4 linked regions of the Canis lupus familiaris genome follow. The protein of the gene in region 2 interacts with the protein of the main gene of each other region in a pairwise test. Links are inferred from orthologs where the notes say so. Each region holds a gene or a part of one and is shown on either strand. Other genes may lie near its edges.

What was found.
Region 1: the proteins of BAG6 (region 2) and TAC1 interact in a two-hybrid assay, tested with the Homo sapiens proteins (2 studies listed by BioGRID and IntAct). The link is inferred for Canis lupus familiaris from reciprocal best matches to the Homo sapiens genes BAG6 and TAC1.
Region 3: the proteins of BAG6 (region 2) and SERPINI2 interact in a two-hybrid assay, tested with the Homo sapiens proteins (2 studies listed by BioGRID and IntAct). The two-hybrid records come from large-scale screens. The link is inferred for Canis lupus familiaris from reciprocal best matches to the Homo sapiens genes BAG6 and SERPINI2.
Region 4: the proteins of BAG6 (region 2) and DNAJB11 interact in a two-hybrid assay, tested with the Homo sapiens proteins (2 studies listed by BioGRID and IntAct). The link is inferred for Canis lupus familiaris from reciprocal best matches to the Homo sapiens genes BAG6 and DNAJB11.

Annotation. Positions count from the first base shown.
Region 1 is NC_049235.1:22,592,765-22,596,816, reverse strand, and holds the start of TAC1 (protachykinin-1), read right to left. Parts: upstream 2,801-4,052; 5' UTR 2,680-2,800; intron 2,274-2,679; 5' UTR 2,256-2,273; coding exon 2,133-2,255; intron 1,102-2,132; coding exon 1,005-1,101; intron 532-1,004; coding exon 487-531; intron 1-486. UniProt on the Homo sapiens protein: Tachykinins are active peptides which excite neurons, evoke behavioral responses, are potent vasodilators and secretagogues, and contract (directly or indirectly) many smooth muscles.
Region 2 is NC_049233.1:1,267,881-1,270,617, reverse strand, and holds part of BAG6 (large proline-rich protein BAG6), read left to right. Parts: intron 1-25; coding exon 26-103; intron 104-213; coding exon 214-321; intron 322-441; coding exon 442-554; intron 555-656; coding exon 657-744; intron 745-945; coding exon 946-1,229; intron 1,230-1,645; coding exon 1,646-1,937; intron 1,938-2,102; coding exon 2,103-2,272; intron 2,273-2,449; coding exon 2,450-2,503; intron 2,504-2,619; coding exon 2,620-2,722; intron 2,723-2,737. UniProt on the Homo sapiens protein: ATP-independent molecular chaperone preventing the aggregation of misfolded and hydrophobic patches-containing proteins.
Region 3 is NC_049255.1:32,604,472-32,608,563, forward strand, and holds the start of SERPINI2 (serpin I2), read right to left. Parts: upstream 2,801-4,092; 5' UTR 2,648-2,800; intron 2,468-2,647; exon of another isoform or gene 2,389-2,467; intron 449-2,388; 5' UTR 441-448; coding exon 194-440; intron 1-193.
Region 4 is NC_049255.1:19,355,498-19,359,701, reverse strand, and holds the start of DNAJB11 (dnaJ homolog subfamily B member 11), read right to left. Parts: upstream 2,801-4,204; 5' UTR 2,638-2,800; coding exon 2,570-2,637; intron 46-2,569; coding exon 1-45. UniProt on the Homo sapiens protein: As a co-chaperone for HSPA5 it is required for proper folding, trafficking or degradation of proteins.

The sequences.
Region 1 (4,052 bases), on a different chromosome or scaffold from region 2:
TAGATTTGTTTTAAAATGCTACATTATATTTTTAGAAGAGAATTATAAAATAAGTTGATTTTTAAAACATGTAATATTTCCCATTCATGTACTATCCTGAGGAATATAGCAGAATATACCATAAATGCTAACCAAATTATTAATGATAAAAACAAAATAGCAACCAAAAGGAATATTTTTAAGTGCCTTCTATGGGCCACAGATTCAAACCCAGGACTATGAGACCCCCGAGGCCTAACAATAATAACTGTTAGGCCACAACACCTGTTTTCTCACTTAAAAACAAAACAAAACAAAACAAAACAAAAAAAGAAACACATCTCCAAGCTGGACCACCATTTGACACTCAGGAAAGAGGGATACAAATCTATACCTTTACTAAACAGGCATTATCAAGAATCTGTATTTGAGCCCATAAAAGACTTTCTTTACGTTTCCTATATGTACATTCACAATAGTAAAATAAAGATTTATAGAAATGTTTACCATAAAGAGCTTTTAACAGGGCCACTTGTTTTTCAATTGAGGAATCTGACAAAAGATGAATCGACAGTAACTATTTACACATTCCACCGATGGTGTGATAAATTCAAGGAAATTGACTATTTCTATCAGGAGACATTAGGGAGCTCCATCTGATCGAAATCTAATCTAACCCCAAAGGTCTCCAACCGGTTTCCACTGGCACTTGGACCATTCTGACTACTACCCCTGGAGGCCCCGCGCCTCCCCTCCGGCAGCTGGGTCTTCTGTCAAGGGGGCCCTCAGCTAAGGCTGCTTCCTGTTCTTGATCTGGGTCACTCTCAGGACCTCTCCCTGCGTCCGAGGGCCTGTGCGTGTGTTAGCAGGGTGAGGGCCAGAGTCGCTCCCCGGGGATGTATCCATTTTAGCGTGGAAATTTCTCCTCAAAGGGCAGGAGAGACTGGGCGCGCTAGGACGCTCTAGGAGCCAGGAGCCCGGGAGGGTGGCTCAGAGACACGGAGGGGGTTGGCCGCCCATCTCACCAGCATCCCGTTTGCCCATTAATCCGAAGAACTGCTGAGGCTTGGGTCTCCGGGCGATTCTCTGCAGGAGATGCTCAAAGGGCTCGGGCAGCTCCTCCTGCGGGACAGACGCACAGACAAACGCGGGTGTCGGCAGCCAGCGCGCGGCCCCGGGGCGACCCCGAGTCGTTGCAGCGGTGCGCGCCAGCCCGGGGCGAAGCTCGGAGGCGGGCGGTGGCGCCGCAGGAGGCCGGGCTTCCCCAGGCGGGGGTCGGTGGGGTCCCAGCGCGGGAGCTCCCTACCTCGCCCCCCCCGCGGAACTCGGGTCCCCGCGCCGCCCCTCCCCCGAGCCCCGCCCCCGCGGTGAGCAGCCCGCGCCCCGCTCCTGGCAGAGCCCGGAGCCCCCCACTCCGCTGCCGCGCGGCCACCTGCCGTTCTCCCGATTCTGGCGCCGGCTCTGGGGACGCCTGGCCGCCCTGAGTGCACACACGTGTGTGTCGGCGGCGGGGAAGGGATGACAACGCTTTGCCGGCGACCTGCACCGCGCGACTCTGTTCCCTCGGGGCGCTCCCTTGCACCAACAGCCCGCGAGCCCAATGAAGGAGAACTTGCAGCTCCGTCCTCGAGTCGGTAATAAAAGTCCAAGCAGGAAGTCAGCTCCCACCCGCCTCGCCGCTCGAAGCCCCCAGCAGCTCGCCCTTTGCCCCTGCGTCTCCCGGGGTCCGGCGCGCCCCCTTCTGCCCCTGCCCTGCGTTTCCAAATGCCCGGGTCGAAATAAATCCCCGTTACCCCGGGATGCAGCCTCGGGAGGTTTCCAGTCCTGGGGGGACCCCGGGCTCACCAAGGAGGGCATCGTTCCTCCAGGAGTTCCCGAGACCCGACGGTGCAGTCCCCGGGAGGAAACTTGGATCGCGCGCACGGAGCTCGTGCGGGGACCCAGGGCGCGGCGCTCCTTCACACTCCGTCCCGCTCCCCGCGCTCCTCCCCGCGCTCCTCCCCGCCTGCGGTCGCGGTCGCGGTCGCGGTCTCGGTCGCGGTCGCGGTCGCGGTCGCCCGGCCTGCCAGGCTCACTGGAGCGCTATCGCGGGGGCGGTGACAGCTCCCGAGGCCGGGAAGAGCGGCGCGGGCCGGCTAGGGGCAGGGTCTCACCTTGATCTGGTCGCTGTCGGACCAGTCGGACCAGTAATTCAGATCATCGTTGGCTCCGATTTCTTCTGCAAACAGCTGAGTGGACACGAGAAAAAAGACGGCCAAGGCCACGAGGATTTTCATGTTGGATTCCTGGGAGGACTGGGGAAGAAGAGGCCGGGGGAGAAATATTGGAGAAGGCGCTCCAAGAGTTGCGGTATGATTTTTGGTCCCACAACGCAAGTCAGGGCCGGCTGAACCAAGATAAAAAGCCTAACGGGGCGGGGTGGGGTGGGGGACCCTACAGCACCCCGTGTACCGTTTAGGAAAGAGAATCACGCCCCAGCGTTTCTCAAATCCCCTTCTCCCTCGGTCCCAACTCCCTCAGTCCCCGACCCTCCGATCCGCACCTCCAGGCCGGGAGGCTCTCCCTGCAGGTGGAAAACAGAGGGACGCTGGCGTTTGGGGCACCCGCGTCCCCGCTGTGCCCCCCGCCCCGGGGGCCCCTCCAGCGCCGCCAGCCGCCACCTGGGAGCGCAGCGCGGCGCGGCGCGGCGCGGGCACTTACTGCGGCGGGCGGGCCGGCGGGGTTCCTCGGGCTGCTCGGGGCGCACGCGGGGCGCTCGGCCCTTAGGCTGCCGCGGCGGGGGAGGCGGTGGCGGCGGCAGCGGCTGCGCGCTCCTTCGGCGGCTCCGTGCCGCGCGGTATTTATCCGACGCTCGACGAGCCTCGGGGACCACGTGACTCGCTCCCCACGCGACTTTCTGCTCAATATTTAATTACCCGCCTCTTCTCCTTTGCTTGCGTCTGATCGAGAGTTTCCGAGACGGTAACCCGTCGGTGCCCGAAACATCTGGACCCAATCGGGTTCGAAATGACGCAATTTTAGGAAAAGCCAAGCTCTCGCCATCCAATCCCGAGCGGCCAGTCTTCTTCCGTCTGCAGATCTGACGCCCCCTCCCCTCTCCTTCGGAGCGAGGTTCCATGACACCTGAAATTACTCATCAAAATTGAGCGAAGTGACTCATTCCTCGGACTTCCGCAACTTTTTCGTCCCTTGAGACGTCAGGAGAAGTTGCACTTTTAAGGACGGCCAGATAACTGAAGGTATTAGGATACTGTCGTCGGAGATCCTACTAAGAGGAGCATTTCAAGGGGGGTGGGGGGAGGCTTTCCCCCCTCCTCTTTCACCTGCAGAGTGCCCTAGTGTTTCTGAGATCTGGCATCTCCTGTGAGCAGAGCATCCTTCTCCCAAATCAGCTACGACACGGGCGTTTCTCCGGCGTTACAGAAGGATTATCAGTCCCATAGCATTTCAGACGATGGAAGCAGATTTATTTCACATTTTGGAGAAAGGAGAATTTAAACGTGGCGACACACGTAGAACTTTCCTATCGGTGCCATTCTAGGATATCTTTTATTCCAAGCTAGCAAAACCCTCTTCCTTCGCACATCCAGGAGCAGGGGTTGGAAGAGGACGTATTTGCTTCTCTCCTACCCTTTCTCGCTGAAGACTAAGAAACCGGCGAGGCAGTGTACAGAAGCCTGCCTGGGTGTCACCGAAGGACTCTACAGATCATTCATAGATTTCTCCCGTAAATGGAAATCAGTGTAGTGAAGATGCTAATCGGATGGTCATTGGCAATACGAAAACTATTAGACAAATAGCATCTGTACAGAAATCTCAGCTTTCCATGAGCCCACGGTTTCACCTTGCAGACACATTTCTTTCATCTCTCAATGAATTAAATGAGGTGTCTTGAGGGAGGCAGTTGTTTTCTCCTCCTTGTTAAGTAAGTATTATATTTTTCAATTAACCCTGATTTTTTTAGTATACTGCATATAAAAAATAACTTTTTTCAATTCACTTAAACCAGTAATTTTTTCCTCTAGCATTTGCTGTTGTTTCTTAAATAATCCTGAGTTTTGAAATTCCCACAT
Region 2 (2,737 bases):
CCACTCTCTCTGTCTCCCTGCTCAGATTCCGGCACACAGCCTGGTGGAGTTCCGAGTGCTCCCACTGGCCCCCTAGGACCCCCTGGTCATGGCCAGACCCTGGGTAAGAGTGAGGGTATCAGAGCAGGCAAGCTCTGGGTAGAGAAGGGGTAGGGCCGACTGGGTGGGTTGAAGGGGGTCCAGGTTCAAGGTTACATCAGACCCGCCCCCCAGGCTCCACCCTCATCCAGCTGCCCTCCCTGCCCCCTGAGTTCATGCACGCCGTCGCCCACCAGATCACTCATCAGGCCATGGTGGCAGCTGTTGCCTCCGCGGCCGCAGGTAATAACCCGGAAGGGGAAGCTTGGGAGGTGGGGCACGGTCCATGGTGGCGGGTGCTGTCGGCTAGCAGGCCAGGGCCCGGCCCTCAGCCCTCTTCGGTCTCCCCTCTGCCACCCACAGGACAGCAGGTGCCAGGCTTCCCTACGGCTCCGACCCGGGTGGTGATTGCCCGGCCCACCCCTCCACAGGCTCGGCCTTCCCATCCTGGGGGGCCCCCCGTCTCGGGTACTCTAGTGAGTAAGGATGGAGGAGCTCTCGTTGGGGGGAGTCTGGGGAAAGAATCCTCGTGGGGAATGGGCAGGGCAGGACTGAAAGCTGTTTCTGTCTCCCTCCAGCAGGGCTCCGGGCTAGGTACCAATGCTTCTCTGGCCCAGATGGTGAGCGGCCTTGTGGGGCAGCTCCTGATGCAGCCTGTTCTGGTGGGTGAGTCCTTGTTCTTGCCCGTCTCAACCTGAAGGGATGTCCACCACCCTGGAGGCCGGTGCTCCTCAGTCTCCTGACGAGCGCTTCCCAGTTTTCTCCACAGATCCTTTTTCCTTGCCTTCCTGTTGACAAGACCAGAATGAGATGCTGTGGTGTCTCGTTTCTCTACAGAGTTCAACTTTTCTCTTTTGGTCTCTCCAGCTCAGGGGACCCCAGGAATGGCTCCACCTCCAGCCCCTGCCACTGCTTCAGCTAGTGCCGGCACTACCAACACCGCTACCACAGCTGGCCCTGCTCCCGGGGGGCCTGCCCAGCCTCCTCCCCCTCAGCCCTCGGCCGCCGACCTGCAGTTCTCTCAGCTCCTGGGGAACTTGCTGGGGCCAGCAGGGCCTGGGGCCGGCGGGCCTGGCATGGCTTCTCCCACCATCACCGTGGCCATGCCCGGCGTCCCCGCCTTTCTACAGGGCATGACTGACTTTCTGCAGGTGAGTTGCTGGCTTGCTCTTTGGCTCCCCCCCACACCTGCTGGTCCAGCCAGGTGCTGGTGCCTTGTTTCTGTGATGTTGCTGCTGGGCTACGGTCCCTGGTGGCCTGTCGATGGGAGGGAGCCCTGGGACCTCATTGATTCCGATTCCCCACCTATCCCCATTTGGGAGAAGCAGCAGCTGAGGCTATGAGGACATAGTACTTGGCATTGCTGTTTTGTAACCTAATGCGTTCAGGGGGAGAGGGGCTGGAGCCCCACCTAAGTCTGCTGCTATGTCACCACATGTGTTCATTCTGCTCCAGGGAGGAAAGACCACAGTGGGGCTCTCCTGTTGGGCTTCTCTCAGCCTGTGCCTTTCTGGTGTCTCGTCCCCGTTTTCACCTTGTCTTCTGTTGTGTGTTCTCTGTTTGCCAGGCAGCACAGACAGCCCCTCCACCCCCGCCGCCGCCGCCGCCCCCGCCCCCAGCACCGGAGCAGCAGACTGTGCCCCCACCAGGGTCCCCTTCTGGTGGCACAGGGAGTCCTGGAGGCCTGGGTCTTGAGAGCCTTTCACCGGAGTTTTTTACATCTGTGGTGCAGGGTGTGCTGAACTCCCTGCTGGGCTCCCTGGGGGCGCGGGCCGGCAGCAGTGAGAGCATCGCTGCTTTCATCCAGCGCCTCAGCGGATCCAGTAACATCTTCGAGCCTGGGGCAGATGGGGCCCTCGGTGAGCCATCGAGGGTGCCTTGGTCTTCTCCAGGGAGGGGAGGGGAGGGGAGGTTGATGACCTTTGTCAAGGAGTGTTGCTGGAGCTGGATGAGGTCGATGGGTTGGTGGTGCACAGGCAGGGCAGGGGGTAAAGGCCACTGCTGACTTCAGCCCCTGTCCCTAGGATTCTTCGGGGCCCTGCTTTCTCTTTTGTGCCAGAACTTTTCCATGGTAGACGTGGTGATGCTTCTTCACGGCCATTTCCAGCCACTGCAGCGGCTCCAGCCCCAGCTGCGGTCCTTTTTCCACCAGCACTACCTGGGTGGCCAAGAGCCCACACCCGGTAACATACGGGTAAATGAAGGCCGGGGGCCGCCGCATGCTCCTCTTCAGCTTCTCTTTCTTGACTCCACTCTGTCACCTAAAGTGCCGATCGCTCCAGCCTGAGCCCTGCACTTACTGGAGGTGGAGGGGAGGGCATGTCTCACAGGCCAGGGTGGGGGATCTGAACTCCTGCTGTTTTGCCCTTAGACGGCGACCCACACATTGATCACGGGGCTGGAAGAATACGTGCGGGAGAGTTTCGTGAGTTCCTCATCTCCCGGGGGGCCGGGGTAGCTGCTGTTCCTCCCACCGCCTCGGAGCGAATGTAGTCTTCCAGGCTCCCTGATTTGGGGGTCTCCGTGTGTCTTGGTTTTCAGTCTTTGGTGCAGGTTCAGCCTGGTGTGGACATCATCCGGACCAACCTGGAGTTTCTCCAGGAGCAGTTCAACAGCATTGCTGCTCATGTGCTGCACTGCACAGGTGAGGGCGGCCAGG
Region 3 (4,092 bases), on a different chromosome or scaffold from region 2:
TTCTTCTGGTAACATTTTCATTAGGAAACAATTTAAATAAAATTATTTAAAATTCTCTATTTTATTATAATTTTATGCTTTTGATAACATTTTCCATGTATTTAAATTCTGCAACCCCAAGCTTCTCTCTAATTTTCAAAATAAATTTGGCCAGATCTTATCCATTATAAATAATCATATGTAAGAATCTCACCAGTTGAGTTTTCCTGAAGTTTTAAAGTTTGTCTTATCTGCTGTTGTGCTCTTCCTTTTGCTCCCAGTTGTATCATCCCAAGAACCAAAGTTGTTCCGAGGGGGGAAAATATAATGTTGTTCTCATGAGATAAACAAATAGTTTGATAAAGATCCACTGCAAATTCGACATTTCTTTGAACCAAGGGTCTTGAAGCTTGACTTCCAGAAAAAATCAATAGGAGACTCCACAACAAGATCTTATTCATTTTGACCTCTGTGCATTAATTCAAAATTCATTAGTTTTTCAAAATAATCAGAGTTTAACCAAAGTAAGTTCCAACATAAAACTTTCTAACTATTAGGACAGACTATTACAAGAAGATTCTCATGCCAATTTTCAGACTCAGCATCATCTATTAGGGGAAATAGGCCATGTGCTAATAGCATTATCATATTCTTTCAAGAACTAGTCCAAAATATAAAGCAGTCTTCTAAAATCAAAGGAGAACCTGTAATCCTGGGACACTATCAATAGCAAATCTATCTCTAAATAGCTATGTGATACTTTTTCCTATTTTTCCCATTGTTTTATTTTTTTTTAAGATTTTATTTATTCATGAGAGATAGAGAAAAAGAAGCAGAGACACAGGTAGAGGAAGAAGCAGGCTCCATGCAGGGAGCCAGATGCGGGACTCGAACCCGGGACTCCAGGATCACGCCCCCGGCCGAAGGCAGACACTAAACCATTGAACCACCCAGGGATCCCCTTTCCCATTGTTTTAAATGGGATCACTTCTAGCTCTTTATCAAGGAAATCCTCTGTCTACACTACTCTAAAAAGGTTTGTAGATCAAAAGAGAAACAATAAAAAAAAAAAGGAAGACACTCTACTGTGGTTTTGATCTATAATACTAGAAAGTCAATACTTTCTAAATTAGTTCGAGTAATCTGGCAAAGTCTTTGCAGTAGGAATTTTCACACTTTATGGAATCTCACTTCTGGAGGGCAAAATACCCCAAAATCCACCATGTACTTTATTCAAAGTGAGGAAAAACAAACTCAGAAAAATTGTAAAGAAACACAATTACAATCAAATATAAGTGGTACAACAATAACAAAAGAAGAAAGCAATTAAAAAAAATCAAAGAATAATTTGACTAACACATTTAAGAAAGTTACAATTGGAACCTTAAGCCAATTCACAACACTACTGACACCCTATGACAGTGCTCTCCACTAAAAGTACAGGAAATTCAGCCACCTGATTACATCTTAAGAATGAGTTTTGCAATATTATCACAGACCTCACAAAATGCTGACTCCGAAATCCTTATAAATTTTAGTAACACTAATTTTACCTTGCAAAAAATTCATTTTAGTAATCCTTAATAATTCCTAGATTAAAAGGTTACTAGGCAGTAACCATTTATTGAAGGTAAAGATGAAGGGCTCCAGAACAATGTATTGTCAGCCTTAAAAAATGAAGAACTATATTTCCAAAGTGTTCTGCAGACAACTAGAAGGGTCAGCATGACCCATAAATGGGTTAAGAGTCACTATTAGATATAAAGCTTACTAATAGTCAAATATTCTCTAAAACTAAGATATGGAGTCATTAGCCAACTACTTCAAATTGCATTCTAATATTTGTAATTAAACTCTGTTTAGATATACAATTTGCAAAGGAAAAAGACCTCAAAATGCAATTGAAATAAATTGTTTTAAAAAAATTGTTTTGGCAAACTGCAAATATAGATATATACTATCAAACCACGTTTTATTGAGGATTAAATTAATACATAAGGTTGTGAGTCAGTGCAACAATAGTAACAGCCAGTGAGTAAGAAAAGTTTTATACATGAAATAAATTTCAGTGAATCATTTTCTAATCTATTCAATATCTCAGAAGATTTATGATTGAAAATATCAGTTTGTAGATATATAAGCAAAGCGTTATTAGTACTTTTAAGTCATCAAGTGGCAATTCATTAGGCACATCCTGATGCATTTTATTTGTATTAGAATAATAAACAATATTATGAAGGATACAATTTTTCCCCTATAGTAGAATCAGAGGGGCATCCTCTCATTATTATGAATGATCTTAATAATTAAAATTTACATTATTTGATCATCCAATTTTCCCAGAAAATTTCTAGGCATTAAATAAATTACAAGCTTACACCAAAAAAATTGTTTTAAAAATTCACTTACATCATTGGGTTTTGGATCTTATCTCATCAGGAAGCATGAAGTACTGGTGAACTAAACAACATTCTTATAAGAATCCGACCTTCAAATTTATAATTATGCCAGTTGAGGAGAATAAAAGTAATGTGTTAATTTGATAAATTTAAATAATATCTGTATCAAAGTGAATTGAAATACCATTCCCCTACTCTATTAAACACTCATGATCAATATTATTGCATATGTACTTTACTCAAAAGCTATTTAATTTTGAGGTACTTACCCAAAATTGGCTTCTGATTATTCACTGTAATGTTATATAACTATAATGTGCCTGCTGAGAAACACTAGTACATAAAATACCCAATCAGTCAAGGCCAGCTTTATTTATCTTGAACATTGTATGATTAATTCCTCTAAACCCAAAGCAGGTGTTCACTACATTTGTATAAAAGAACTAACATGACCAGGTTAATGATCAATGATACAACTGGCAAGAATTGAGAAATAAAATGACAATAGAATTTTTAAAAATCATTAAACTTCTAAAATTTCATCCATTATTCCACTTCTTTTATATAGTAAGTAGAAACAGAATTTGGAAGAATGTACCAGGGCTTGTAAATTTGCTAGTAATTAGTTCTTTTTGTTTCTCACAGGACTCACACATCAGATTACCAGTGTATGCCATCATAAATATTTTAGAATGCCTATGAGAAAAAGGATAAAGCTAAATCAAGTCCAGAATGCACAGACAAATTGCTGCCGCATTTGCAGAGTTCTCAACAATTCATCAAATTATACAATAGTCACAGGAATTTCCTGTGGTTACATTTTAATTCTTAGCAAAAAGAGTGGATGTTGAAGAAATAAACTCCCTATGTTGAACAAAAAGACCAGATTAAGATTATTGATTTACCAAATTAAATGAAGATAACACTATTAAACATAGCTAATTTGATAATAAACATCAGTGTTACTTTTATATGTTTTTAGACTTTTACATGATTTTCTCTACTGACAGTTCATTAATAAAAAATGGACACATAATTTAATGGGTTTTGATCTCATTCTTCTAGTTCAAATCAATCACCTCAATGGCAATCAGATATTAAATACATTGTATTATTCATCAGTCATCTCTGAGAAGAGAAATGGAAAATTTGTTCCAGTTACTATTAAATATTCACTATTGATAACTAAATGTAATGTTATTTCTGATAAATTTATGAAAAAGAAATAAAATGAATGTAGATGACTTTAGAAGGAATTCATCAGGAAAACTTTCAAGAATGCTGTTAACCTCTTTCAGTGTCCTAATGGGGCTGGAGCTCGCTGACAGCCCTGATGATTGCCATAGGCCATAATCTCCTAATTCACTAAAATCCTTAATTGCCCATCTAGGCATCTCTAAATGTTTTCTAAATCTTGGGTTATAATATTACATATGCAAACTCATTTCCAGCTTTTAACTTAACACTATTAGAGATCATTTTCCAAAACAGTCATGCAGCACAAAAGCATGATCTTTCTTCTTACTCTACTATGCAATTCATAAATAATAAGTCTGAATATCCAAGACTATCATTCAATCAATGCTTTTCTATCCCTGTGGTGACACCAGCAAACATCCATCACAAGTACTGTTGGCTACCAAATTATTATTTCTCCATATTACTCAGATCATAATGTGATTTATCCAGGAACAGGCCATTACTTTTCCTTCCA
Region 4 (4,204 bases), on a different chromosome or scaffold from region 2:
ATAGAGGCGCTGCGAGGCACCCCCAAGATCTTATAGAAATCTCGCCTAGGGAATAGGGAGGGGGAGAGGGTACTTCATTAAAGAGTTCTACAGTATGTTTTTAAAAGTGAAATTTTTTTCCTTTGCTTTTAGGTTTGTATATGAGCAAAGAGGTAGGAAAATGAAGGCATACATGTGACACACAAAAAAGAATGACTAAAAAGAGCCCGTCAGAATTTGTAAGGAATCTTACATATTGAAGTAATCACAATGAGAGGCCATGAACTTTTTGAACTTTGCTACAATTATTCAAAACATCTGTGGCATACTTCTCTTAGACCCTTTCAGACAAGAGAACTATTTCCTTATTTATGGTCACATGTTATTTTCAACCAGTAACTGTACAATCGAATTAACTCTCTCTTTTTTCCTTCCCTCTATTAGTGACTTCAAATGACTTCTGGCTATGTCCAAAGGTCAAATAATAACCAAAGGATGATTTTCTTTATTCAAAAAGATCACATCATGTAAAAGTTCTAACCGTAGCTTTGTTTAGAATGTTAAACATGAAGCAACTGAAATTAACTTCAGAGGTTAACATAGAAGTTAAGCCAAAATCCAGTTAAGAACTCTGAGAAAGAATAACCTCTACCTGGATGTAGGAGTTGTGGTGTTTTTTGCTAAAAGTGAGAGAAAATATCAATCTTGCAGTCATTTTTAGTGGCTATACTGGTTTGTCTTGGTCAAGTCGTAATTATAGACAGCTGCTGAAGCCCATATGCAGAAGCCTGTAAGTCTCAGCAGCTACAAATATGCATACAGCATGAGCAGGGAGATAAGGTACAGATTCACTGACCTCCTTGCAAGGGACTCTGCTAAAGTAATTATAAAAGGAGTATTTGCAAGAAGGGCCAATGCATAAAACAGACCATAATAAACTTCAAGGGTAGGGACTGTAGCCCATAGAAGACACCAATAAATATTTACTGAATGAAATGAATAAATAAGCATGCTCACAAAAACCTACTCCTTTTGCCAGAGTCATTTTAGCCATCAAAAATTATTCTGAAAAAAAAATTATTCTGAAAATGCATTTCTCAACACAGGGAATGGGAAAGTTGTCCACAATGGACACACTACTACAGTAGTGATGGTGACTTTAAAATGCAATGGGGATAAAATGCATTGAGGTGCCAAGTGATATATGACAGAACATGGAAAAAATGATTTCATAAGTTCTTTGTTGCACTTTGGAAAGTCATATAATCATTTCAGGTCTAAGTCTGTAAAATTATCATCCCCAATGAGAATTAATTAGACGTTTTATCCTCCCCATCCCCCCCCCAAATCTGCAAACACCCCTAAGATCTAGAGACAAGGGACTAAATAAATCAAAAGGTTCACCAAAATTAATAACAAAAGAGCTGTTTAAAGAATGAGGCTTACTTAGAATATGCTTAATATAAAAATGGGTCAGTAACAGTCCAGAATAATCAGGGAAAAGAGAGCTGGCATAGTTCAGCATCAATGTTACAGTTCCCCAAAGACTTCTCTATAAAAAGGCTGGCGTTTAAAGCTACAGAATTAACAATACTCAGACTGACCCATATCTTAGGGTATGTATGTGTTGCTTTAAGTGAAGTACTAACAAAAACATACTAAAAAAAAACAATAAAGCATTACCTAGAAGAAATCATTATTATTATTATTTAGCAATTTAAAATGTTTCACCAGAAAAAAAAATGACAACAAAGTTTAAGCATATAAGCACGGGGGGAAAAGAACACTTTTAAGAAATAACAAGCGCTTTGAAGTTTAAAGCTTTGCTAAGTAGCATCCCCTACAGTGAGGGAAACTTAGGAATTGTTAGAAGCTAAGACTTCACTGTTTCCCCCATATACTCAAATGTGAGCCCGGCACGTCATATCCTGCGGTCACCGAGCTTTAGGATCGTAGATCTAAAAGGCTGCACGCATCCCTGAGGGTTCAGGTGGTCCTTCCTACTCCCTTCGTACGGGGGGGGGGGCACCTTATTATCTTCATGATACAGATGAGAACTCAGAGTCACGAAACTCGCAGGTGGGGTGGGGATGCGGGGTCTTGAATGCCAGCTCGCTGTCTGTCGGTGAAATGCCCTTCCTGTTCCTGAGATTAGGAGGCTTCTCAGGAACGTGCCATGGAGAGGCCGTGAAGCAGGAGGGCAGCTAAGGCTCCGTTATCGCCAGGAGCCAGGAAGGACAAGCACTCTCCAGGGCCCGCCTCGCTGCCTCCATCCCATTTCCTTCGGCCCCGGCATGGCTCCCCTACCTGTTCTCCCTTGCTCGCTCAGCCTCGCAGTACCGCCGCCTCCCCCCCCCCCCCCCCCCCGCCCAGGGGCTTGTTGCGGGCTGTCCACGTACCCGGTCCTCCTCTTCGGCTCAGCAGCACCCCGCGCCCCCCCCCCCCCCACGGGCCGTCCCGCACCGCATCCACATCCCGCTGGAAGGGCCTCCGGCCCTGCGCCCCTCTCCGCCGCCCCGCACACCCCCTCCTCCCGCAGCCCAGACGCACCGACCCACCGGCCCCGTGCCCGAGGGCGCCCGGTCCTCACCCGGCGATCGCGGCCCCGAGGAGGTACAGCAGCAACAGGCAGAGGGTGCCCAGGTTCTGCGGGGCCATGGTCTCTCGGCGCCCGCCTCCGTGCCGGCCCCTCGCCCACGCGCTCCGCCCCGCCGCCGCGTCGGCTCACCGGCCCCCCACCCCCCGCCCGGTGCCCAGAGGCCGCCTCTCCCCGGGGTCACCCCTCGGTCCCGAGCGACGGCGAGCTCGCCCCCTCCTCGGCCAGTCCACTTCCCGGGAGTCCCGAGTCCCCGGGAGAGAAGCCCCGCAGCCGGCGAGAGCCAATCGCTGCTCGGGACATCACACGCGGCCGGCGCCGCGCAGCCAATCAGCGCGGTACACTTCACCTCCGAGGCGGCGCGGCCGGCCAGTTAGGCCTCCGAATTGCAGCCGCAGCTCCGGGCCAATTAGAGGAGGAAACGTCAGAGAGACGCGCCGCCGCGGGCTTCCGCTCGGCCCCGGTAGCCACGAGTCGCGGAAAACTGCGTAAAAAGGCGGTGGGGTCCAGGAGTCCCGCCCCTCCCCGCCCACCTCGGGCTCTCCACCAATCACGAGGCTCCTCCTCCAGCACTGACCAATTACGGGAGGGAGGACTTACCTGGTGACGAGTCTGGGAATTTCATTCATCCGGAGCTTTACGCTGGGTGCGGGAGCAAAGGGTCACCGGAGAAATGGGCGGGGACAACTACTCTGCGCCAACGGTGGGGCGGACGCACGGCTTAAGAGATCTTACTTTACCCTCTTGGAACAAGCCCCGAAGAAAATTGCCTCGGTTTGCACGGAGAAGAGGCCGTGGGGGCAGACAGACTTAGATTCGGATTCAGCTTCCATCACTTCTTAGCGGTGAGAACATCCTCCTTCCCTTGCCCCCGTCAAGCCTAAGCTTCATTTACAAACCCGAGGGCAAAACATTTTACTGGCAGTGTTGTGAAATTTAATGGGAGAAAAGCTGTAAACTGTCTAGCACAGCAGGCACGCAGTGTAGAACTCTTTGATTCCCCCCACCTACTTGTTCATGACAAAATTCTAGGTATCTTCCTTGATTCCGCCCCTATATCCTCTATCCACATCTTTGCTTTTAAACTATAGCCTCAATCTGTCCACGGCTGTACATCTCCACTACCTCTCTAGGCCAGGTCACGTCATCTCTCCCCTGGCAAGCCTTCCTACGTGGTCTCCCTGCCTCCACTCTTAATATATTACACTCTCTTGTTCACTCCTGACCCCCAACCGCATGATTTTTTGCAAACGTGTCAGACCATGTCATTCTCCTACTCAAAAGCCTCGAATAGCTTGTCATTGCACTTAAAATAAAACCCCAGCTCTTTATGATAGCTTATAAAACTCTGTGTGCTTTCATAAAGCTGGGGGAAAAAATAGTTAAAGCCTGATAGGATCTGTGCCCTCACCTAGTATATACTCCTTGGAATGTTCCAGCAAACCTGGTTTTTTCTTTTTATGAATACACAAAATTCATTCCTCCCTAAGGCCTCTATTCTTGCTATTCTCTTTGCCTGAAGCACTCTTCCCTTAGTTTCTAACTTGGGTGACTGCTTTTTACACTCAGATCAGTTGAAATGTCACTACTTCAGAGAAGACCTCCCTGACTAGCCAGTCGAAAATAGCT